Linked DNA regions of Arabidopsis thaliana. The protein of the gene in region 1 purifies or fractionates together with the protein of each later gene. This does not show direct contact. Each region holds a gene or a part of one and is shown in the gene's direction. Other genes may lie near its edges.

Region 1 (8,825 bases):
TTCGAAACTTTAGTTAAGTGAGCTAATTGATAATTGATCGATCCACTTATTGGCTGTCCTTAGTTCTTAGATTACACACAAAGAAACAAAACAAATGGACAATGTTAAATCAGCAGAGAGACTTACGGGGAGCACAATAAGGTCGAAAACAGAGTCGGTAATATCAGAGAGAAGAGTATCAGCGACCATCTTGATGCCATGACAAGCATCAACGCCAACCTGAGTCTCAACAGACGCCACCGTCACGTCAGCACCACCTCGACGCAACACGGTAATCATCGCCACCGCTTCTAGAGGCTCCGTACCGTGCGCAATAGGGATCAAAACCTAAAAGAGACGCCAAAAAACCTTGGATTAATAATCACAAAAAAAAATCGTTACGTACGAGGAGGGAAAAAAGTATGATCTCGGGATCGTGAAACCCCACACACCGTTTTCGTAAATGAAGCCATAGTTGCGGAGATTAGAGAAACGATGGTCGAGTCAAGAAGAAAGAGAAATGGAGTGTAGTGGAGAAGAAAGGAGTGTCACTAATGGGGTTAAAATAGTAGGAAAGACTCAGTGACGAAGCCATTTACGACTTTCCTTTTTATCACTTTAACCAAAAGAAGATAGACGTGTGCGATGACGTAAGCATAAAGAAAAAGAAACTCGACGATACGTGTCGAACATTCATTGGTGGAACGTGGCGAAAGCTTCTTTTGAGTCTTTCCACGTCATTGTATTGGATAAAATCAGAAAAAGCCACTTTGGTTTCGGTAAACTAAGACGGCGTGAAGTTGGCGAGAAAAAAGTATTACAACAACGACATCACGTCCTGGTTCTTAATTTTGTGGAAGCACGTGTTGTCGTTTTTGATACATGTACTTTGTAGTAGAGTAAACCGGACGAACTTCTGAAGAGATGTTTTGTTAATTTTGTAGCGTTCCAATAATTTATGGGCTTTATATGGGAGTGTTAACCGGTCGAAAAAGTACTCCTACCCTTTCAAATAGCTATTAACGCGAAATTTGAAACTACTAGTTAAACTTAACCAAATATGATCCCATAAATATGATATATATACACGGTAAACTAATTAAGAGACTGTTCAGATGGTTTTTGGATGAATCGGTGTATTCAAATTAACACAAACACACACATTTTTCAAAATGGACAGCCTGAAATCATGATTTTTGTTATGATCTCTAATTTCTAACCCAACATGCAACAAACAATAAATGATCAATACCCATTATCCGGTCCAAAGTGTTTTTAACAAACTTAACGTTTTAGATATAATCCAAGGATGTGTGTCAAAATTCACTTATATTGTAATAGACGAAATTAAACTAGATTAAATCACATGTTTGTGTGTTTTAACCATGTTTGATGGCTTCGTTGGGTCCAACATATTCCATTCACAATTAGGATGAAGAAGAATGTCTCAATACAGAAAGCCAAATATAAAGCAAAACACGTGGCTCATGCATTAGCTTCGCAAGCGAGCCGAATTATTTGTTATTGACTTATGTGGATCAAAATTAGCAAATGAGGTCTACCATCTACCCTTTTAAAAAAGAATCGTTTCTTTTTAACCATAGTTAAACCTTAAAAATGAAAAAAGTATCTAGAATTGATCCCCTCTAAATATTTTTTTTTTTAAAAACAAATACTTTCACATAACACAGTCGTTTTCATCGTACTGGTACATGTACTTTTTGGAATTTTCATATATCAAAATCGAATAAGAAGAAACAAAGATTCAGAGCCGTATTCCTATATATAGTTAATACAAAACATGCAATAACTAATCTGTTCACACAACAAAATAGGTTAAAATACGACTTATGTCCATCATCGCATGCACCTATTTGATAGTACAGTATTTGTTATCGTTAAGACACGTAAAGATTCCCCGCGCAAATTACAAAGCATCCAATCCACTTAACAGATATTGATTATACATATTAAGACAAAACCTGTTACAATCGGTGATGACTGAATTTTAAAGGACAAAAACATAAGCTGAAATGATTTAAAACGACAACAGAAGAACAGTTAGAAACCTGGCAATTAAATATGCTAACCTTTTTTTTCATTTTAGTTTGTCTGTTATTTTTGTCAGAACAGTTTTTGTCTGTGGCGAATTTAGTAAAAAAAAACTTTGTCAAGAACTTAAAACCATAGTCATTAATATTGGCTTATAGTGATACGATCGTCATTAACAGGATTAAGAATTTGATAACAGAAGAAAAAAACGACGAATATTTGGGTTTTAATTTGTGTAATTAAACGAATTTAAGTACTCCATATACTATAACTGCTGGTCCGTTGTTATCAGAGAGGAGACAGAATCTTAAGGTGAAAAATGAAGAATGACTTTTTCAGTATAACGAAGGAAAAATAAAATAAAAACACGAAGATGCCTTTTTGGTGACAGCACACAATTTATAGAAAAGAAAAAAAGAAAAAAAACGAGAAGAGAAAGAAATAGCCAATAATAAGTATACACACACTGTGCACAACAAAGTGATAGAGGCAGATTCAGAGAGGTGAAAAAAAGTTCGTCAGAATTTATCTATCTGATGAATTTTGGTTGAGAGATTTAACACCGAATCAGAGGTGGGTTTCTTCCACAATTATAGAAAAAGCTAAAAAGATAGACAAATTGTTGTTCTTTCTGTGTGTGAGATAGAGATCAAGGAGAGAGAGTGTGTGAGTGCAGAGAACGTGAAATGGAATGAAAATGCGTTTCCCACTTGCGGTTGGAGAGGATAAGGGCGACGAAATGAGTCTATTTCAGTGAGAAGAAGCCATTTCTCCGATTTCACAGCTCTGATTTCATTCTGCATGCTGGTAATGTCCTGCATTTCCCAATTTTTGAGCTTTCTTTTTGGATGTAATTAGTCATTATAACATCTCAATTTCATGAAATCTGGTCTATCGTTTTGCTCTAGGCTTCAAAGTTTTGGCCTTTCTAGAAGGATCTCTGATTTTATCTTGTTTTGAATCCGCTTCCGCTTATGGGTATGTGTTTTGGATTAGGATGTCGAGTTCCAAACTTTTGGGTTCTGTGAGTTTATTCATTACTTTATATAATTGCAGGTATCTATCTACAACCTTCCTTTTAAGTTAAGGTGAAGTGGAATATGCAGTTAGTTTGTGGAGATGCTTCCCGGAGCTGAGATTGAGATGTTAGGAGGTGACTGCTTTGAAGGGTCATATGAGGATCATCAGATATTCAGAGAAGTTTTCTTTGGAAGTGATCCTGGAAATACTACTAAAAGATGTCTCGTTACTGGAGCCATTAACTTCGAATGTGATTCCAGTAAGAATGTCAATTCCTCTCTGAGTTCCAACTCTGTGGTAACTAGTGGATATGCATGTCCACAAGGTTTTGAGGCATCTGCTTCAAGAGATGGTTCAGATTTTAACACTAAAGCTAAGAGAGTGAAGCTTTCAGGTAATAAGCATTTGGATGCAAGGGACGAAAAGGGATCTGCTTTGCATGGTTTTCCAACTTCGGACATAGCTAGAGAGACGATACCTCTCCATTTAGTTGAATCATCTAACAAGGGTGTTTCAACTAGCTCATATTTGTTGAAGCACAGCATAGTAAAGGGAAGAGAAGTTTATCTGGGTGGCATTGTGTCTGGAAAGTGTAAGTCACTAAACTTGGACAAATGCGATGGAAAGGAATTTAAAGCTATTGCCTCTCCTGTTTCTCAGGAGAGCTTCGCAACCAGAATGATCTCTGTAGGTGCTTCTACGCCGCATAGTGAGAAGGCTTGCTTCCCGCTACAGTTGAACAACGGATCTAAAGTATCTCCTAATGAGTTAATTATGTCTAAAACCTGCCTAAAGATTGATCCTAAAGAGGACCCCCGTCCTCTTCTCTACAAGTATGTCTGTAAGGTTCTAACTGCTGCCAGATGGAAAATTGAGAAGCGCGAAAGATCAGCAGGTAGGAAACATGTAGACACATTTTACATATCGCCAGAGGGACGGAAATTTCGTGAATTTGGGTCAGCTTGGAAAGCATTGGGTGGGATCCTATTAGCTGATCGTAAGTTAATGGATACTGGTACTAAGAAATGGACTGGTATTAATGACTTCTGGTCCGATCTCTCTCTTACACTGTTGGACATCGAGGAGAACATGAAAAATTTAAATCTTGCTAACACACGGGCACTTTGGTGGAGTGCCTTAGAGCCTTTTGTGGTTGTTGTCTTCATTTCTAAGCAAGTTGGTTCTTTAAGAAAAGGAAATAAAGTTGAAGTTGCAAGGAATTCAAATCCAGACAAGTTGAAGAAAGAAGATACAATTTGTTTGAACCTGATTTCAGGCTGTCCTGAAAGTGTGCTGACAGTATCTGAAGGCAGTCATCTTGTTCATGACGTGGATGCTAACCAAGAGATACATTCAGATCTTGAGGTGCAAACTAAAATTTCCTCTCAAAAAGTTTCTTCAAGACTAGAGAGGCAGAGCATAATTGGTAAGGAAATCTCTGGGACTCATGAGCAGGAGGCTAGCAAGGGCATTGTAGCTTCAAAATTGATAGCAGAAGACATGCATGAAAGTGTTATGAGAAAGAACTTACACAGAAGATCAAAGAAAATATCCGATATCAAACCAGCTTCCTTGGACCAACATGATTCACTAGATTCTAATTCTCTCAATAGCTTTGAATTCCAGGATAAAGAGATGGGCAACATTCACCTCGTCTCAAAGGGAAGTCGGGATGAAAGGTTGAGGAATGAGAAGATGAATAATTCATGTTGCAATTCAAAGAAAGGAAGAAAGAAAGCTAGGAAGCACTATACTCAAGATGATGACCTTATGGGGTCGACAATAACCAGAAACAAAGGTAAGTTCAGCAGATCAAGCCAGAAAAAGAAAACACAGAAGCCAAAGGCTAGAACAAAGAAAAGAAACAATAGGGGAGGGTGCAGGTTGCTTCCCCGAAGCTCAAGCAATGTGGAAAATCATTTTTTTCAAGGAAATTGGTCTATTTTGGGTCCTAGAACTGTCTTATCATGGTTGATAGCTACCAAAGTAATTTCTAGAGACGAAGTAATCCAGTTACGAGATCCAGATGATGATACTGTGGTAAAAACAGGCCTGGTAACTAAAGATGGAGTGGTTTGTACATGTTGCAACAAGACTGTGTCACTTTCTGAATTCAAGAACCATGCTGGATTTAACCAGAACTGTCCATGTCTGAATCTTTTCATGGGGTCAGGAAAGCCTTTCGCTTCATGTCAGCTGGAAGCTTGGTCTGCTGAGTATAAGGCGCGAAGAAATGGATGGAGATTAGAGAAAGCCTCTGATGATGATCCAAATGATGATTCTTGTGGAGTTTGTGGTGATGGGGGTGAGCTGATCTGCTGTGATAATTGTCCATCTACCTTCCATCAGGCGTGCTTATCAATGCAGGTATTGTCTGACTCATTCCAGGGTATATTTACATTTTAACTATTATTTATCCCGGTAATTAACTCTTTGCAAAACATACACATGGGTGAAACTTCTTGGCTGATTCTGTGATTCTTACTAATTCAACTCTAGTAACTTACACGGCATTAGTATAACTAGGATATTTTACCTTAAATTGGTACCCTCTAAAGAGAGTTGCTGTATTGCTTTTGCTTTTTCTACCCAGGTGCTCCCTGAAGGAAGTTGGTATTGCTCGAGCTGCACATGTTGGATATGCAGCGAGTTGGTTAGTGATAATGCTGAACGCTCTCAGGACTTTAAATGTTCCCAGTGTGCGCATAAATGTAATCATCTTACAGCTCGCAATCTCTTAGAAACTATGATTTATTTCTTTATCACATGAAAGGAAACCCCTGATTTGAATTCTCTTCTATCATGTCTCACTGAGATTTTATCACGATTGATGTCACTGTTCATCAGTAACAGTTGTAGATGGTGGTTTTCTGCCAGGCTCAGCACTTCTCCAATTTTCTTTCTTTAGTAATTGACACTTTGTAAAACTCACTTTTGGAGTTATGCCTCTCGCGACAGTTGGATCCCACATTAGTTATTTTGGTATGAAATCCACTTTGGCTGATGATTGTTACCTTTATGTTATCAGATCATGGAACATGTTTGCAAGGGATAAGTAAACGCAGAAAGCTTTTTCCAGAGACCTACTTTTGTGGTAAAAATTGCGAGAAGGTATTAATCATACCTAGTCACTGTGACTTAAACAACTAATGGGTAGTTTTTAAATTTACATTGAGAATAATAGTATATTTTTCGCTGCTCTTGGGCTCTTTGACATATAAACAAAGAAGATGTTAGCATGTTACAGCTGCTTCACAACTTTCAAGGTTCTCATTAAGTAGCTCGTGTAATGCAGGTGTACAATGGTCTTAGTTCTCGTGTTGGGATCATTAACCCTAATGCTGATGGTCTGTCTTGGTCAATTCTTAAATGTTTTCAAGAAGATGGAATGGTTCATTCTGCCCGAAGGTTGGCGCTGAAGGCTGAATGCAACTCGAAATTAGCTGTTGCCCTATCAATTATGGAGGAAAGCTTTCTGTCTATGGTAGATCCAAGAACTGGTATTGACATGATACCTCATGTGCTATACAACTGGGGGTAACGTCCTTTTGTCATTAGCTTGCACACTTAGATTTCTGTTTGTTACTTCTGTACCTTCAGTTCTGCTCTTCATTTTCATCGCTTTGTCTTACCTTTTTTGAATCTTTGTTGCACTTAAAGGTCAACATTTGCTCGGTTAGACTTTGATGGGTTTTACACAGTGGTTGTGGAAAAGGATGATGTGATGATCTCAGTAGCATCTATCAGGTTAGTATGAAGAAACTCGAATTCATGCTGAAAAAACAGTAATCTCATGGCTATCAAAGTGTTTGGTATGTCTTCTAGAACCTCCAGGCAATGAAACAAAATTTGACACTATCACCAAATGGATGCTTAGAACTATTCTTTCACTTCCATCCACTGGAACGAGTTACATATAAACCCCATTTTACTATATCCAGGGTGCACGGAGTAACTATTGCAGAGATGCCTCTTGTAGCTACGTGCAGCAAATATCGCCGACAGGGCATGTGTAGAATCCTCGTGGCTGCCATTGAAGAGGTACGATATTTAGAATGTAACCATGTGGTTGTTCTTGAAGCTACATCCACATTAATAATGTCTAAACTTAGTACAATGATAGACATACAGCACCGCTCATATGCTGACCTTGATAATCCCTTAGCTCATATGATCTCTCTTCCAGTCTTGTCTTGATCCCTGGGCTATCAATAGATAAAACTATTCATTGGTTTTGGCTGCAGATGCTTATGTCTCTCAAAGTGGAGAAGCTTGTGGTAGCTGCATTGCCGAGTTTAGTGGAAACTTGGACTGAAGGTTTTGGCTTCAAACCCATGGATGATGAAGAGCGTGATGCTCTCAAAAGAATAAACTTGATGGTATTCCCTGGGACAACTCTGCTCAAGAAAACACTATACGAGAGCACAAAACCCAGCACTATGAAAGGTAAAGCCAACTCCTCTCTCCCTCTCTCTCGAACGAACTTCATTTGATTTTTGCTCCTGTACAGGTGTATGTCTTTCTAAAGAACGCAATAACCCATCAAACAAAGAAGCAGATCTAGAGCCAGGTCTAGACAAAGCCGGGTCTCCCATGAGTACCCAAGTTGAGAGCTGTGATCAGATGGTTCCAGCAGGTTCAGATGATGAGCCATCCCCAGGCTTCCCCGTACCACTCGGAGCCGATCAAACAGAACCAACTTCAGAAACAGAGAACCCAAGCCGAGACAGCAATGCCAATGATAGGCCAAATAAAACAACAGTAGTCTCTATAGGAGAAGAAGAAGAAGAAGAATGTTTGCAGAAAGATGTATCAAAGTTATCAGAAGAAGGAAAAGAAACGACAAGGGCTTCTTCTTCCTCTGCAGCTTTAGAAGAAGTTAGTGGTCTAGGACTAGGAGTAGTAAATAATGTTAGCGATGAGATGTTGCTTTGTGTTGATGAACAGCTTGACTCTGATAGCTCTCAGGATTCGGAATAATATTATTAGACTAAAAAACTATGATCGTTTCTTTCTCTATATCCTCTCGTCACTTTTTTTTTTTTGAAAGAAAACCCTACTAAGATAAGGAAACCGCATAAAAGAGGATTCTATATTTTCATTTTCATTTTCAAGTCTTATCAAGCCTCAAAACCCTAAATACCAAATATCAAAACGCCCATTTTTCCGAACAAATCATGGTTTTTGATGCTGTCAATCCAGACCCCGACAGCTTCGTTTACTATTATCCGATCTATAACGATGAAGGCGATTTTGGCAGAACCCAAAACTTGATGTTCAAGTTTCATTTATGTTACAATCTTGCCCCTGAAGTAAATTCAGATGGAGAAGATGAAAATCCTCTCGATCTTGAAACTCTACTCGTTGATCGAACTCACGAGTTTGATAAAGGATTGCTTTTCAGTGGAGATAGGGAGCAAATACAAGTCATTGTCTGTCACATTCTTGATTTGATTAAAGCCCCTCGTTATATTGATGTTGTTACAGAACTCATTGATGCGATCCTTGATTTAAAGAAGTGTGATAAGATCTCTAACGTGAAAGAGGTAGATGTAGTCATCAATGTTATTGTGTGGAGGTTTCCTGATGATGATGATGATGATGTAGATGTGAGACTTGCGGTGGCCCCGGCGAGCAATGAAGCGGTGGAGCAACACTTGGAGACGGTTGTTGTTGAGAATGAAAGTTGGTGTGTGATATGCATGGATAAGATCCGGATTGGATTGGATGTGGCTGCGGGTCGAATGCCGTGTTCTCACGTGTTTCATCGCACG
Region 2 (4,894 bases), on another chromosome or scaffold:
CAACGTAAGCTTCAGGAGTGCATACCTTCATGTAAGCATCTATTTCTGGGTCAGGAATGATTCCACCATCCTTTTCTCTTTTACTGACCTCCATCATAATATCTGTTTCAGCAGAGAGATATTTTTGTCACAAAAATAGTTTAAAAAAATGCTTCAGATAGACCATTGGTTTATGAAGACACCTACCTGTTCGGCTACCGACACCTTGACAACGAGCTGAGAAGTCAATTGTCTCCCTTGTAGTCATCTCTGCAATGTGCAGATCATGTTGACTTATATATGCCGATGTTTTCTGAGGAACAACCTCGTTCAGTCCATGTCCATTGTAGGAGATTTCACCATAACACTGTGGAAAATAAAAGAGAGAGAAAAAAAGGAGACATGATTCACACATCTGCAGCAAAAAGCATCCAAAAGAGAAAATATCTAAAACCTTAAGATTGTTTTCCAAATTTCCAGACAAAGCCTTAAGCAGAGTAGTTTTGCCACATCCAGGAGGACCAAGCAACAGTGTTAACCTTGTAAAAACAATAACATACATTAGCTCAAAAGCTTGGATCAAAAGAAAGTACCTCTTGCAACTAACCTTCCCGGGCTAATGATACCGCTAACATCGGTAAGTATTTTTATATTCGCTTCGTTTGTTCTTACACCACTCAGCTTTAACAAGTCCTGAAGAAAAAAAAAAAGTAGAATTCAACACCAGCTACAATCAAGCTTTCATCTGCATTACATTCTTGAGTATACTCACTAAGAAAACGTGCTTCAAAGAGTTCCATAAAGTTGGAAGTGCCTTCCCTTCAACGACCTCACACGCTGCTTCAACACCTAAGTGCTCATACCTCACCTCTATGCTTGGAAACTCCACACCAACCCTGCAGATTTTTTCAAGTTCAAGTCTCATACTTTCAAGAAGCATATTCAGTATTCACTATCAACCTCACCTCTCCATTCTTCTTCTGATTTTCTTGAGAAGTTTGAGATTATCATTCTCAATGTGTTTGATCAGCTTCTCAATCATCAAATGACGTTCCATGGCTCCAAGCTTGGTGACATCAACAACCTTTTTCCCTTTCTCCGTACCTTCACCATATTTGTCGACCAGAGACGATCTCAGCCGTTTAAAAGTTGGCAATCTCTGGATCTCAGCCCATTGCAGAGCATGTTCTGCTTCATCACCACCATCCTCATGCTCGTTTCTTGAAGAACTGCTCCTAAAACTGGATCCCATGTTTTTTTCCAATCTCTGCAAGCTCCACTCACAGTAACTATTGCTCTTCTTCTACACCCAAAGGAGCCATGCCTCAACGGGTCCCTATGTTCTTTGTCTCTCTGTTGAAATGCTCAGAAATCAATTAAGAAATATGCATTTGTCTCCTTCTTATGTATATGTGTAAAATATAATATATGAATTGAGTAAAATGTGTTTTCAAACAGTTAGGTGGTAGAAGGTAAAGGTAATAACATCATGATCTTACTAAAAGAATTGTTGCATACTAACTATCAATATTCTCAACAACATAATATAATGTTTTTTTAGGTAATTTTCCATTTTAATTTTTTGTGATTAAACAATTAAACAACTCGAATGATGATGATAAAAAAAAAAAATTAACAACTCGAATAAGTTAAAGTAGCAATACACATGTCGTTCAATTCAACCAATAAAGTAAGACTTATATTTTTAAGAAGTTGACTAATAGCTTAATAAGTTGGAAAACTTGTGTAGTTTCTTAATTCCCACGTGCAGTAAGAAATAAAAATGAAAAAAATTATTATATCCTTCCCACTCTGCGACTTTTCTTTTATTTTATCAAATATTAAAAAGATTCATATCACAGTTTACACATTGAAATCATAAACGATAATTATGTATTTTGTAATAAAAAGTTAGTTCTGAAGCTCATACTTTGGATAGTCGCTAGTCGCTAATATGCTCCTTGTAATAATTAAAGTCACTACGACGCACGTCAAAGCCGATATTTAGGGCTTAATTGATGCGTGTTTTTCTTTTCATATAATAGTAATATAAATTAGTACTAATAAAGTATGATGGATGGTTGAGACAGAAAAGAAAAAAGATGACTGTATGGTCATCATTACAAAGAAGAATGTATTCTTCATGTTCTTAAGAATAATAAAATGTCACTTGTAAATCAAGTTGGTAAGCATTTTGAGAACTTTGTTCGATGCAACGTATGATGATTTATGTAGACAAAAGATAAAACCGTATCTTCAACTATTGCCAAGAAAAGATAAAACCTAATCTAGTCAGTCTCTCAACATAAATACAACCCAATAGCCAAACTGTGTCCAATTCGGAGAGAAACTAAACTAAAACAAAACACAAAAGCCCAACATAAGCCCAATAAAACCCATTTTATAAACAGAACATTACTAACACTCATTTTTAGGGTTTATTCTTCATTGCTTGAGCTTCCTTCTCTTCTTCTTCTTCAAGCCGCGGCTAAAGATCCCTACTTCTCTCGACACTTATAGAGTTTCAGGTCCATTCTCTGATTCCTGTTTTTTCATTTTCTAATTTCCTATTTACGGGTTTTTACTAATCTTCTATTGATCCTCCAGTCATGGCCGCCTCCGCAGAAATCGACGCTGAGATTCAACAGCAGCTTACCAATGAGGTTAAGCTCTTCAACCGTTGGAGCTTTGATGACGTTTCGGTATATTCCTCACCAATCCCTTCTCTTAGAATATCTCTTTAGACACTTGAGAATTGTCTAGGATCTAATTCTTATTTAGCTGTATGATAGACATTGAAATGATTGGTTTATATTGATATGAGTAGTTACATTAGCTTTATTGTGTGAATTATATCAAATTATAGTCCTCACTTAGTCACTTACTAGATCTTAGCTATTATAATCTTTGTCCGTCTTCACTGAAACCCATGTTGTGTTTGTTTTGATTATAACACTAATTTGACACTAAAGGTCATGTATTTTTTGTGTTTTATATGATTGGTGTGCTAATATTTGTTTTTGATCTGCATATTGGTGTTATGTAGGTTACGGATATTAGTCTTGTGGACTACATTGGTGTTCAGCCATCGAAGCACGCAACTTTTGTTCCCCATACTGCTGGACGATACTCTGTGAAGAGGTTCAGAAAGGCGCAGTGCCCAATTGTTGAGAGGCTCACTAACTCTCTCATGATGCACGGAAGAAACAATGGTAAGAAGTTGATGGCTGTCAGGATCGTCAAGCATGCCATGGAGATTATCCACCTCTTGTCTGACTTGAACCCGATTCAAGTTATCATTGATGCCATTGTTAACAGGTATATTAAGATTGCTATACTGAAACCTGTAAAATTCTTGCGTGCTTGTTACTATGAACTGAATCTAATTAAGAAGGTTTGTTCTTTATGTGAATTAGTGGTCCACGTGAAGATGCTACCAGGATTGGATCTGCTGGTGTGGTTAGGAGGCAGGCTGTTGATATCTCTCCTCTAAGACGTGTGAACCAAGCGATCTTCTTGCTTACAACTGGTGCACGTGAAGCTGCCTTTAGAAACATCAAGACAATCGCTGAGTGCCTTGCTGATGAACTCATCAATGCTGCAAAGGGATCTTCCAACAGGTAAGAACACTCTATCTACATAGTCTGTCTCTTGATGGCTTCACTTTATTGTTAGTTAGTTAAGCTAATAATAGCATCTTCTCTTGTCTTGCAGCTATGCCATCAAGAAGAAAGATGAGATTGAGAGAGTTGCTAAGGCCAATCGTTAAGGGATCTCCCTTTCCTCTAAGTTTGCATTATATCAAAGAGTTTTTGTGTTGTTTCCATTAGCTTTGGATATGTTTCAGATGATCTCTCTATCTTTAATGAAATTTTGACGCTTATAATCGACTTGGGATCTTGATCATCAAACGGTTTCATATTTAAAATTATTTCATCTATATATTTTTCAGTTTAAAGTGCTATAAATCATGGTAGTTATATGGTTTCCAATTTGCTGCTACTCCAAGATAAAAGATGTAGATGGAGCCATGAAAAATTTCAGATAACTCAAACAATCTATTTTGAGTCTCTAAGGACACAACCAATGCCTCTAATTTCCCTGTCAGTCTTCCAAGCACCATGTACATTGCATTTAAAGGCATTTGGGCTCAATGGTGTCCATACCGTAAGTAGCATTTCTGGATGGCAAATCATGTGTATATGCCCACATGGCTCAAGTCGGGTGGTTAAGGGCTTCTCAATTCCGAGACATGACCCGCCTTTCAATCCTACGGACAAGATATACAAGGCGTGATCTTGACATGTGATTCTTTCTCCCTTCGACTCACGCCGCGAAAATGTAAACAAGTATCGGATAGATAACTCATTAAGCTTATGAGTTTATCTTATGTTCCTTGGAAAGGTAGTACAATACCAACGTGGTTACTGAGATCTAGAGGATTTCGATAGACCACCAATGTAATTGAGTTACACCGATGGAAATTGCATTATGTTTAGCAACGTGAACAGAAAAGAAATGGTCCCATGAAGTCAAATTTCTCAAGTTCGATAAACTAAACATATTGAAGAAAGTTACCCCTAAAAAATATAACACACGTTTTTATTTGGATTTGTTAAAATAACATCAATCTTCTTGTCCTTACAATCTTAATGTAAAAACAAATAAATTCACACGATTAATTAACTAATGTGGTATAAAGATTGAAGAAACAGGCATGAATTGATCAAATGGCTTTTGCTTAGGAAGTTGTGAGTGAAGAGCAAATGGTGATTGTATTTACCATTTGCTTCTTCTTTTTTCTCATTCTTAACAAAAAAAGAAAAAGAAAAAAGAAAAAGCATGAATGGATCATCAAATCAAATTGTTTGCTTAGAAAGTTGTGGGGAGTTAAAGGGAAGAGTAGAGGAAGATG
Region 3 (4,811 bases), on another chromosome or scaffold:
AGTGAAATCCTGGGTTCCACACAAGAGAGCCATAGCCAAAGACCCACATCACCATTTTCTGCAGTTAATTGCTGTACATACACACACACAAAAAAAAAGACAAAATCTAAGATTTAGACACAAATCATGATTTTGTGGATGGTAAATGCCAGAAAAAGGCACCATGTAGTAAAGACAAGACAAGAGCTAAACAAGTAAGACAAATCACGATGGACCAGCGTTTCTATTGTCACTTCCTCTTTAAATGTAAACAGATAAGCTCAAATATTGGGTTCTCTTCAGGACAGCTCAGAGTTCATAAAAGAATCAAATCTTCTCCCTTTCTTTATTTTGAAAAGCAAGGAAGATTTTCTAGGTAGGTTATGCGTTCCATAGCAATGGTGGTGCAGTTATAACCCGTAAATGACATGAATGAACAAACTTTTGGAACAAAGACAAAAATCTAGTAAACAGTGTTCCCAAATTCTAGAAAGAAGGGAAAAAGGTATTGACTTTTTCTAGCCAGATTTGGTGCAATAATCATATAATCAAACAGAACAGTAAGAACATTTCCTGAACTACAATAAACATAAACACGAGACAGAGAAAATCGCTGAGAACAGAAGCTACTTTAACCAAAATGAGTAAGATGAATAAAAATCAAAACTTTACCCTGGAACACGATCTTCGTGAAGAGAAAAATCAATCCCACCGTGAGACAAGATCTCCTCTCTTAATTAGATGATCCGAGAAAAGCTGAGAAACTCGTGGGAGGAAGAGAGATTGCAGAGAAAAGGGTTGAGCGAACGGCGTCGTTTCGGTTCGTATGGAGCTGGTAATGGTAATGAGACCACTAAGCTCCTTCTCTCCCTCCTTCTCTCTCTCTCTCGGAATCTCTTTCTCTCTGCTCTGCTTCTCGAGATGTATCTTAATGAGGAGGAGGCGATGTGTGGGAAGAAGAGCATTTATAGAGAGAGAGATGGAGACCGAACCGTATTGTTCATGCCACGCATGTTTTTTTTTTTTTTTTGTGTTCTGCAGATTTTTTGTCTGTTCCGTTTTCCATTCGTCACGTGACTGGCCGGTGAAGACGCTTGTTTCTAAAAGAAATATCTTTGTTCTCTAAACAAGGTATCTCATGTTAAGAAATTTTTAATCTAATTCATAAATTGAAATATTTGTTTTGTTTCTTATGGAAACTCATATATCCAAAATCTAGAATTTATTTGTTCATCTCACTATTTTTGAAGCCAAACACATTCCTAAAATATTCCAAGTTTCAAATAATTTGTCTACCTTGGTAGCTAAAGACAAAAAAGTGTTTTCCTTTTTTTTTTTATTGGCTTATTTAAAAAGTGTTAAAATTTGAATTTTGAGGCAAACAAAGACACAGTCACAAAAACACAAACGTCAGAATGTATTTGTTACACAAAGCCATATACATACATTGCCATCACCGACGTCACTGGTACATAAAAATAAGACTAAACTATCAAATGTTTCCCACGACTAATCGCTTCTTCTCGAATTATACCATAAAAAATATTTCTAGAAAGCAAAAACTAGATGAATCTCCACAAAAATATCTTTGTTTATTTCAAATATCAAATTGGAATAAATGCATTATTATAATTGTTACTATGCTTTTTGAGGATTGGATCACTCATCAGGCGAGTGAGTGTATTCTATATTGGATGATGAGGTCTTGTAATTTGGAAATGTTCAGTAAAATACTACATGTTAAAGTGGGTTCGCTTGACTCATAGTAAAGATTTTTGTCTAAAAATTTATACTATTAATTTGACAAAGAACAACAAATTATTTTTCTCTTCAAAATCAATATCTAATTATAGTTTGGGCCATTTAAACAAAAAAAATAGGTTTGGGCCGAATTCAATAAAAAAACGTTTGGGCCTGTTGACAGATAACATCAATAAAATTTGCTTCGGCTTCACTCGGTTCCTCATCGTCTTGGAGCAAACTTCAAAGTGACTTGCCTGGCGTCGACGTGTCGTTTTCCAGAAGCAGTTTCCGGCGATCTGGTAATTTTTTATGCTCAAAGTTGTCTTCTTTCTTCTTTCTTCTTTCTCCAGTTTGGAATTCTCCAGTCGTGTTCGTCTGGATTCTTGTTTGAATTTTGTATCTGATTTGTTTGGTACCGAGTTATTATTCTTCAATGTTGAAAAATCTAGCTGCATTTTTTGTGGAGTTTATCTGTGTACTTTAGTTCCTGAATTTCAATATCGCTTACCATTCTCAGATTTATACAAAACTCAGAAACATGAAGATGCACCTCTTTGGTTATTGTTCATTGACAATAGGTTTTATTAGAGTTTCAAATCACAGTTATGTTGTAATGTCTTTACTGATGATGATGATATTAACGAGGTTGGTAAACCAAATTGCAGTTTAAGCCTTTTTGGATGGAGGAAGGAACTTCAGGTTCACGGAGAACACGGTCTCAAGTTGCTCCAGAATGGGCAGTCAAAGATTGTCTAGTCCTCGTGAATGAGATCGCTGCGGTTGAAGCCGATTGTTCGAATGCTTTATCTAGCTTCCAGAAATGGACAATGATCACAGAGAACTGCAACGCTTTGGATGTTAGCAGAAATCTAAACCAATGCAGGAGGAAATGGGATTCTTTGATGTCTGATTACAATCAGATCAAGAAGTGGGAATCTCAGTACCGAGGCACTGGTCGTTCCTATTGGTCCCTGAGTAGTGACAAGAGGAAGTTACTTAATCTCCCGGGGGATATCGATATCGAGCTTTTTGAAGCCATCAATGCGGTTGTGATGATCCAAGATGAAAAAGCTGGGACTGAATCTGATAGTGACCCTGAAGCGCAAGACGTTGTTGATCTCTCTGCTGAATTAGGTACACTATACACTATCCTTTTCTTGCCCCATTACTAAATGAAACTAGGCCTTTAAGGAATCTTAAGAACAAATAGTGCATAGACAGACTTATTCACTTCTTCAAGATACAGAATGACGAAAATTGTCGGTGTAGTTATAGTTGAAATATATGTAGAACACTTTGCTACCGTGAGCTACACTATGATTATATTGCTCTTTTTGTAGTCACCATCTTCAGGTAAACTCTGAACTGCTATATTTGGAGTTACTCGGATCAGTCCAGAATCACTGACACACTGACACTCTTCTTATGCTAACCATTTGAATCACTCTGGTTTTAAATTCAGCTTTTGTAGGATCAAAAAGATCAAGACAGCGAACAATGGTCATGAAGGAGACAAAGAAAGAAGAGCCACGGACTAGCCGAGTTCAAGTAAACACTCGAGAGAAACCTATAACTACAAAAGCAACCCATCAGAACAAAACCATGGGAGAGAAGAAGCCGGTGGAAGATATGTCCACAGATGAAGAAGAAGATGAAACAATGAACATAGAAGAGGATGTAGAAGTGATGGAAGCGAAGCTAAGTTATAAAATTGACTTGATACATGCGATAGTCGGGAGAAATCTAGCAAAGGATAATGAAACAAAGGATGGTGTTAGTATGGACGACAAGTTGAAGTCTGTGAGACAGCAAGGAGACGAGCTCATCGGTTGTCTGAGTGAAATTGTTAGTACCCTTAATAGGCTTCATGAAGTTCCACAAGAAATCGAGTGATTTACAATGTGAATAAACTATCAGTTGTAAATGCTTAGCCATGAATCGTAATAATGTTGTAGACTTGTAGACTTTCAAAAGCTGTCTGTAATCTGTCAAGTATACATACAAAACAGGGCAAAAGCATAAAAATCCGACTCCACTGGGGATCGAACCCAGAATCTCTGGTTTCGTAGACCAGCGCCTTATCCATTGGGCCATGGAGTCTTTTGTGTTTAACAATTGGAAATCGACTTTGTATAATAATTCGTACTGATTCTATACTTTCAAGCTATGCAATATATCCCAATGTTCTTTAGTATCTTACCAGCTTGTGGATTTGGTGTCCCCAAAGTGTATAAGATTTAACAATGTCATAAGTAACATAGTAAGAGGTTACATAGAATTTGTTCAGAGAATGTTGCAAACTGCAAAAAAGAAGAAGATAAATTATGGCTTTGGCACAGCTCTCGCTTGATTCATGGCATCCATAAGATGAGCCCTCAAAGCATCCGGATCACGCAATGATGGGCTTGAAGTCAAAAGTACCTGGAGGAAGAAACTCCTTGGAGAGCTTCCTCATTGCCTCCAAAGCAGCCGGTTCTATCATTCGTAGCTTATACCCAGACAAAGTTAAGTCTGAAATTCCAATTCAAGATATCCGATCTTGCGGTGGTGTTCTCGCTTCCGTCCAGACTCCAAATATATTTTCTGTCTGAATATCAATTACGAAATAAAGGGATCGCCATCCAAAACACACACATTTATAACGACCTATACAAGACGAGCGTGGTTTTAGTTTTACACTTTTTAATTAACTGTTTTATGTTTACCAAGCTCCTAATTTGACATGAAATATGGAGCCAAAAGTTTTGTAGAACAAAAAGCTGTCGTTGATAAAGGGATATTATTTCAGACATTGCAGGATTGAGTAACACACCGTTCTTTGCTCCACAACAAAATAAAGTATTTGATTGGTGATGATTACAATTTACAAGTTTACAACAAGAAAGCTTCAAAATAAAGCATTTCTGCACTTTAAAAGATCGCTAAATCTGATAGAGGCCATTTGGTTATGGAAAGATATATAAACATTACAACATAAATTAACAAAATAAGGATATCTATAAGAAAATCCATGAAACTACACTATGTTTTGGATTGCGTATATATTTTAGACTAAATAAAAAATAGCAACTAGTAATATTTGCGCGATA
Region 4 (5,390 bases), on another chromosome or scaffold:
AGGTAGATGCCACAAGGATGTTCCTTGCAACAGGTTCTCATCTTAATTTAGTTGACTTCTTTCTGCAAATATAGAAATATACAGAGAATGTGATTATTGATTCGTTACATGTAACCAGGAAGCTCATCGGTGCTAGATACTTCAACAAAGGTTACTTAGCTTACACAGGCCTTCCTTCTAACGCCTCCTATGAAACCTGTCGTGACCACGATGGTCACGGTAGCCACACTCTTTCCACCGCGGCTGGTAACTTTGTTCCCGGAGCCAATGTGTTTGGTATCGGGAATGGAACAGCCAGTGGTGGTTCTCCTAAAGCTAGAGTCGCGGCTTACAAGGTGTGCTGGCCCCCTGTGGATGGCGCGGAGTGCTTTGATGCTGATATTTTGGCAGCGATTGAGGCTGCCATCGAAGACGGCGTGGATGTTCTCTCGGCTTCAGTGGGAGGAGATGCTGGAGATTACATGAGCGATGGTATAGCCATTGGATCCTTCCACGCCGTCAAAAACGGGGTGACGGTTGTGTGCTCTGCTGGAAATTCAGGTCCTAAGTCTGGCACTGTCTCAAACGTTGCACCATGGGTTATTACAGTCGGTGCTAGCTCCATGGATCGGGAGTTTCAAGCTTTTGTTGAGCTCAAAAACGGCCAAAGCTTCAAGGTTTGATACTTTGACCTCGTCTTCTTTTTTTTTTCTTTCACTTTTGGTTCCTTTCTTTCTTGTGCTACAAGTAATTAATTTTGAAAAGCAGGGAACAAGCCTCTCAAAGCCTTTGCCTGAAGAAAAGATGTATAGCCTCATCAGTGCTGCAGATGCTAATGTAGCCAATGGAAATGTGACAGATGCGTAAGTAAACGCTTGATATCTATTTTTTGGAATGTGTATAATTAAGTAAGTACTAATTAACTAGTGATGGTTACATAGATTGCTATGCAAGAAAGGTAGCCTAGACCCGAAGAAGGTGAAAGGGAAGATCTTGGTGTGTCTGAGAGGAGACAACGCACGTGTGGACAAGGGAATGCAAGCGGCTGCTGCTGGAGCTGCGGGAATGGTTCTATGCAACGACAAGGCGAGTGGAAACGAAATCATCTCAGACGCTCATGTTCTTCCTGCTTCACAAATTGACTACAAAGATGGTGAAACTTTGTTTTCTTACCTAAGTTCCACAAAAGATCCCAAAGGTTACATCAAAGCACCTACCGCTACGCTGAACACAAAGCCTGCTCCTTTCATGGCCTCTTTCTCTTCCAGAGGACCAAACACCATCACACCAGGGATCCTCAAGCCCGACATCACTGCACCCGGTGTCAACATCATAGCCGCCTTCACGGAAGCCACGGGCCCTACAGACTTAGACTCTGACAATCGAAGAACTCCTTTCAACACCGAATCAGGAACTTCCATGTCCTGTCCTCACATCTCCGGTGTCGTTGGTCTTTTGAAAACACTTCACCCTCATTGGAGTCCTGCAGCTATCCGCTCAGCCATCATGACAACTTCAAGAACCAGAAACAACAGACGTAAGCCCATGGTTGATGAATCCTTCAAGAAAGCAAATCCCTTCAGCTACGGTTCAGGCCATGTCCAACCCAATAAAGCCGCCCATCCTGGTCTTGTCTATGATCTCACCACAGGAGACTACTTGGACTTCCTCTGCGCCGTTGGCTACAACAACACCGTGGTTCAACTCTTTGCCGAGGACCCACAGTACACGTGTCGCCAAGGAGCCAATCTTCTCGACTTCAACTACCCTTCAATCACTGTCCCAAACCTCACGGGCTCTATCACCGTCACCCGAAAACTCAAAAACGTTGGACCACCTGCTACCTACAACGCTCGTTTCCGAGAGCCACTTGGAGTTCGCGTCTCCGTGGAGCCAAAACAGCTCACGTTCAACAAAACTGGTGAAGTGAAGATATTTCAGATGACTCTTCGTCCCTTGCCAGTGACGCCTTCAGGCTACGTTTTTGGAGAGCTGACGTGGACTGATTCACATCATTACGTTAGGAGTCCCATCGTCGTCCAACTTTCAAGCTAGCCTCATTCTTCATTCTACTTCATCGTTCTCACTTTTCTTCTATGAATCATTTTATATGTTTGGATAATATTTTAATGTTCAAAAAAAAAATAAAAAAAATTGAATTAAAACACATTCTTTCTTAAAACAGTTTAATTTTATTTTGATGTTAACAAATAACTATCGGCATCATATAATTCATTACCTAAAATAAAATGTATAGCTAGTAAACCAAAAACATTGATTATTTTTATTATCTTTGTGATTAGCATATTTGATTTGCATGTGATTATTAACTTTATTTTTCATTAATCATCTTCTAATTACAGAATTTGTATTAAGGTAAAAATTTGCCAAGTGGACATATGGTGCTTTTTGCGTGTCGTTACGTGAAAGCAGTGACAGAGAAATAAGAAGTGTGTGTGGCTTGGACGACCAAACTAAAAACCACACTCTCGTCTCGGGCTTTTGGGTTAGACCCGGCAACGAAGCGATGCAGACGAGATCCTCTTCCTCTCCTTCGGCTAACCACCGCCGCGAAACCCAGTTGCAGATCGCGGATCCCACCTCGTTTTGCGGCAAGATTATGCCTGGTTGGACCGTCGTGAATCGGCCGCGATCTAGCAACAACGGTGTTGTTGATACGGTAAATATGAGCTACATCAAGCAAATGTGAAACAAAATTTGAGCTTTTTCTCAGAATTTGAACAATTAGAGCTAATTTATGTCTTTTGTGCAATGGATATGTATGACCAAAGTGTAATGCTTGGATCAGATTAGTGATTGTGTTGCCACAGAGCTCTTGATTGTTGCTTGAGAGGTCTATGAGTCGTTTCTTTGGGTATATGCTTGAGTTGAAGATAGATCTTGTGGTTCTCTTCTGAAAAGTCTCATCTTTACTTGTTTTTGTTTTGTTTTGTGGGCAGTACTTTATCGAGCCAGGGACTGGTAGACAGTTTTCATCACTAGAAGCTATTCACAGACACTTGGCTGGAGAAGTAAATGACAGACGCTTGACTCGAGCAGGATCCTTTTTCCAGGACAAGACAAGGGTTTATGAAGGATCAAGAACCAAACAGGTCCTTTGTTCTGATTTGAAATTACAGAAGCATATGGTTCTTCTTGGATCAAATACTTAAAATCAGTGTGTTTATGCTTTTGCAGGATCACTGCGGAGTTGAATATGCCTCCAAAGGTTTCCGATTGCCTAGAGGATGGTCCGTTGAGGAGGTTCCGAGGAAAAACTCTCATTATATTGATAAGGTACTAATGTAGAGACTTGCTATAGCTATTTTAGACCCTATGCATAAGTTACTGAGTCACATAACTAACAACTGAGGTCGGTTAAATGTGGGATGTGAGAAGAGCAGAATGTGAAAAGGATACGTTGAATTGGTGGTTTTAGGATTGAATCTCTGGCTAAACCGTTAGTATTGTTCTTTGCAGTATTATGTTGAGCGAAAAACAGGAAAGCGCTTCCGTTCTCTTGTTTCCGTTGAGAGATACTTAAGAGAATCCCGGAACTCTATAGAGCAGCAGCTTAGGGTTTTACAGAATCGCCGTGGCCATTCCAAAGATTTCAGGTTACCTGATGGATGGATCGTTGAGGAGAAACCGCGAAGAAGTTCCAGTCATATAGACAGGGTACATATCTGATACTTAGGTAGTTTGGTTATATTTGGTTTGTGTCATATAGTCCAAACGTTCAATACCGTTAGTACTGTTGTTTGCAGTCATATATTGAGCCAGGAACAGGGAATAAATTCCGTTCCATGGCAGCCGTTGAGAGATACTTGATATCAGTCGGGAACATTACACTTGACTCGGTTTCTATGGTGCATTCGGAGCGGCTTCCTGTAAGTTTTCTAAGCTTAAAGATAGATGAAGTTTGATTTTAAGCTTTACATCATTTAGAGGTAAAGAAGATGAACCATTTCTATACAAGGTTGTAACGGTTTGACTGTGGCAGCTTCTGATGAACCGGAATGGTATCAGATTTCAGAGCGAAGTTATTGACCCAAACCCACCGAAGAAAGTAAAGTGGGTTCTTACCGGTTCCGGCGGAAACATGTTCACTGCGAATGTACGCGGATCGAATGTCTCTAGCTTGGTTAAACATACATGGTCCGAGGCATTTGTTTCACTGATCGAAGACCGCTCTTAACCGAACTAGGTTTGTCAATTTAGTTTACGGTTAACAAGAGCTAATTCCAGTCGGTAGTCTGTTCAAGTTCATACTTCGGTCTAGTTTATAACTGACCCAAATAACCGGCTTTTCCAAAATTTTCAATTTCATATTCGGTGTGAACCGGATTTTGGTTATTCGGGCAGGTATGTTAGTGCTCATATTAAGTTTGGGGACTTAAAATTCGAAGTTGTCTGTAGTAAGGTGTAAATAATGGTTCAAAATTCCAAGCTTGATGTGAAATGGTTGTCTAAGAATGATTTTGTGTGCTTCCTCTCTAATTTTTGTATTAACAACTTCTCCTCGTTAAACATACTCGCCAAATACTTAGTATGAATCTAACTATAAATGAAAATCAACATTTTGTGTACGCCCCAAGTGGTTCTCACGAGTATAATATAGAAATTTACAAGATTATTTCGATTATGAGAGTCCATCGTTATTACTAACGGTTAAAGCTAGTAGCTCACCTTGGTTTCTTGGATTGAGACTTGAGAGGGTTTATATGACAATTATATCGTATTCCATGTGAGATATAATTACCTCTCTTCACCGGTTTTTGCTGTGAAACTGTAGAAAAAATAATGTTAACTGTAGTAAAACTGTGAAGCACAACGTGTACACGCAATCACAGATCTTTTTACCAAAATATGTATGAATTCACTTCAATGAAGTCAGTCACCTACTGCAAGATCTTATGTATATTTATATAATTATCTCTATATCTATCCTTGAATGTACCGCAATAGACTAGATATATGTCAAATATAATACAGTGTACTTTATTTTGAATTTGGTCTTAACCTTTTTCTTATTTTTGTCAACCTTTACTTTTAACTCAAAAGCAAATATCAATAAGTGAATTATCATATGCTTTGTATGTGTAATTCTATATTTAATTCCTTTTTTGATGTGGAACTTTGACAAAATAAACCAAATTCTTAAAAGTCTGGTTTCCATACTAATGAATGCAGATTGTGGGAATTTATAATGTATTTCTCCTTTTGCATAGAGTTTAATGATGTACAATGAAAAAGATTTTGAATAACAGTGCTATTTAAGACTTCTAGAAATGGGTAAGTGGAAACTTCTAAGATTTCAAAGTCAAAAGACAACATTGTTGTTGGTTATTGAAATTTCTTTTTGGTACGATTATTTTTAAAATATTGTGTACGTGCTGCAAATTGATATT

Evidence for each region.
Region 2: the proteins of ROS4 (region 1) and RPS5B purify together in Arabidopsis thaliana (affinity purification with mass spectrometry, with the first as the bait; one study listed by BioGRID). This does not show direct contact.
Region 3: the proteins of ROS4 (region 1) and AT4G31270 purify together in Arabidopsis thaliana (affinity purification with mass spectrometry, with the first as the bait; one study listed by BioGRID). This does not show direct contact.
Region 4: the proteins of ROS4 (region 1) and MBD7 purify together in Arabidopsis thaliana (affinity purification with western blotting; one study listed by BioGRID). This does not show direct contact.

What each region holds. Positions count from the first base shown.
Region 1 is NC_003074.8:5,039,137-5,047,961, reverse strand, and holds ROS4 (Acyl-CoA N-acyltransferase with RING/FYVE/PHD-type zinc finger protein), read left to right. Parts: upstream 1-2,436; 5' UTR 2,437-2,633; coding exon of another isoform or gene 2,634-2,852; intron 2,853-2,939; exon of another isoform or gene 2,940-3,009; intron 3,010-3,087; 5' UTR 3,088-3,150; coding exon 3,151-5,418; intron 5,419-5,644; coding exon 5,645-5,762; intron 5,763-6,079; coding exon 6,080-6,162; intron 6,163-6,346; coding exon 6,347-6,588; intron 6,589-6,711; coding exon 6,712-6,798; coding exon of another isoform or gene 6,799-6,808; exon of another isoform or gene 6,809-6,992; coding exon 6,993-7,092; intron 7,093-7,295; coding exon 7,296-7,497; coding exon of another isoform or gene 7,498-7,544; exon of another isoform or gene 7,545-7,561; coding exon 7,562-8,031; 3' UTR 8,032-8,150; downstream 8,151-8,825. Other genes in the region: DJ1A (Class I glutamine amidotransferase-like superfamily protein), read right to left, coding at 127-327, 432-452; AT3G14981 (uncharacterized protein), read right to left, coding at 2,634-2,852; AT3G14970 (RING/U-box superfamily protein), read left to right, coding at 8,229-8,825. UniProt on the Arabidopsis thaliana protein: Histone H3 acetyltransferase that binds methylated DNA at chromatin sites lacking histone H3K4 di- or trimethylation and catalyzes H3K18 and H3K23 acetylation. Prevents the transcriptional silencing of transgenes and of some endogenous genes.
Region 2 is NC_003071.7:15,646,737-15,651,630, reverse strand, and holds RPS5B (ribosomal protein 5B), read left to right. Parts: upstream 1-2,159; 5' UTR 2,160-2,507; exon of another isoform or gene 2,508-2,586; 5' UTR 2,587-2,588; coding exon 2,589-2,681; intron 2,682-3,025; coding exon 3,026-3,297; intron 3,298-3,395; coding exon 3,396-3,599; intron 3,600-3,693; coding exon 3,694-3,748; 3' UTR 3,749-3,954; downstream 3,955-4,894. Other genes in the region: ABCG33 (pleiotropic drug resistance 5), read right to left, coding at 26-102, 187-518, 587-672, 752-875, 945-1,231; TTG2 (WRKY family transcription factor family protein), read right to left, coding at 4,839-4,894.
Region 3 is NC_003075.7:15,182,095-15,186,905, reverse strand, and holds AT4G31270 (sequence-specific DNA binding transcription factor), read left to right. Parts: upstream 1-1,944; 5' UTR 1,945-2,021; intron 2,022-2,387; 5' UTR 2,388-2,402; coding exon 2,403-2,856; intron 2,857-3,184; coding exon 3,185-3,615; 3' UTR 3,616-3,718; downstream 3,719-4,811. Other genes in the region: AT4G31290 (ChaC-like family protein), read right to left, coding at 1-55; AT4G31280 (uncharacterized protein), read left to right, coding at 901-977, 1,021-1,105; AT4G31260 (uncharacterized protein), read left to right, coding at 4,119-4,313.
Region 4 is NC_003076.8:24,093,539-24,098,928, reverse strand, and holds MBD7 (methyl-CPG-binding domain 7), read left to right. Parts: upstream 1-2,396; 5' UTR 2,397-2,506; coding exon 2,507-2,659; intron 2,660-2,939; coding exon 2,940-3,092; intron 3,093-3,177; coding exon 3,178-3,276; intron 3,277-3,459; coding exon 3,460-3,657; intron 3,658-3,746; coding exon 3,747-3,869; intron 3,870-3,982; coding exon 3,983-4,177; 3' UTR 4,178-4,570; downstream 4,571-5,390. Other genes in the region: SBT5.4 (Subtilase family protein), read left to right, coding at 1-33, 119-656, 748-842, 921-2,034. UniProt on the Arabidopsis thaliana protein: Transcriptional regulator that binds CpG islands in promoters where the DNA is methylated at position 5 of cytosine within CpG dinucleotides.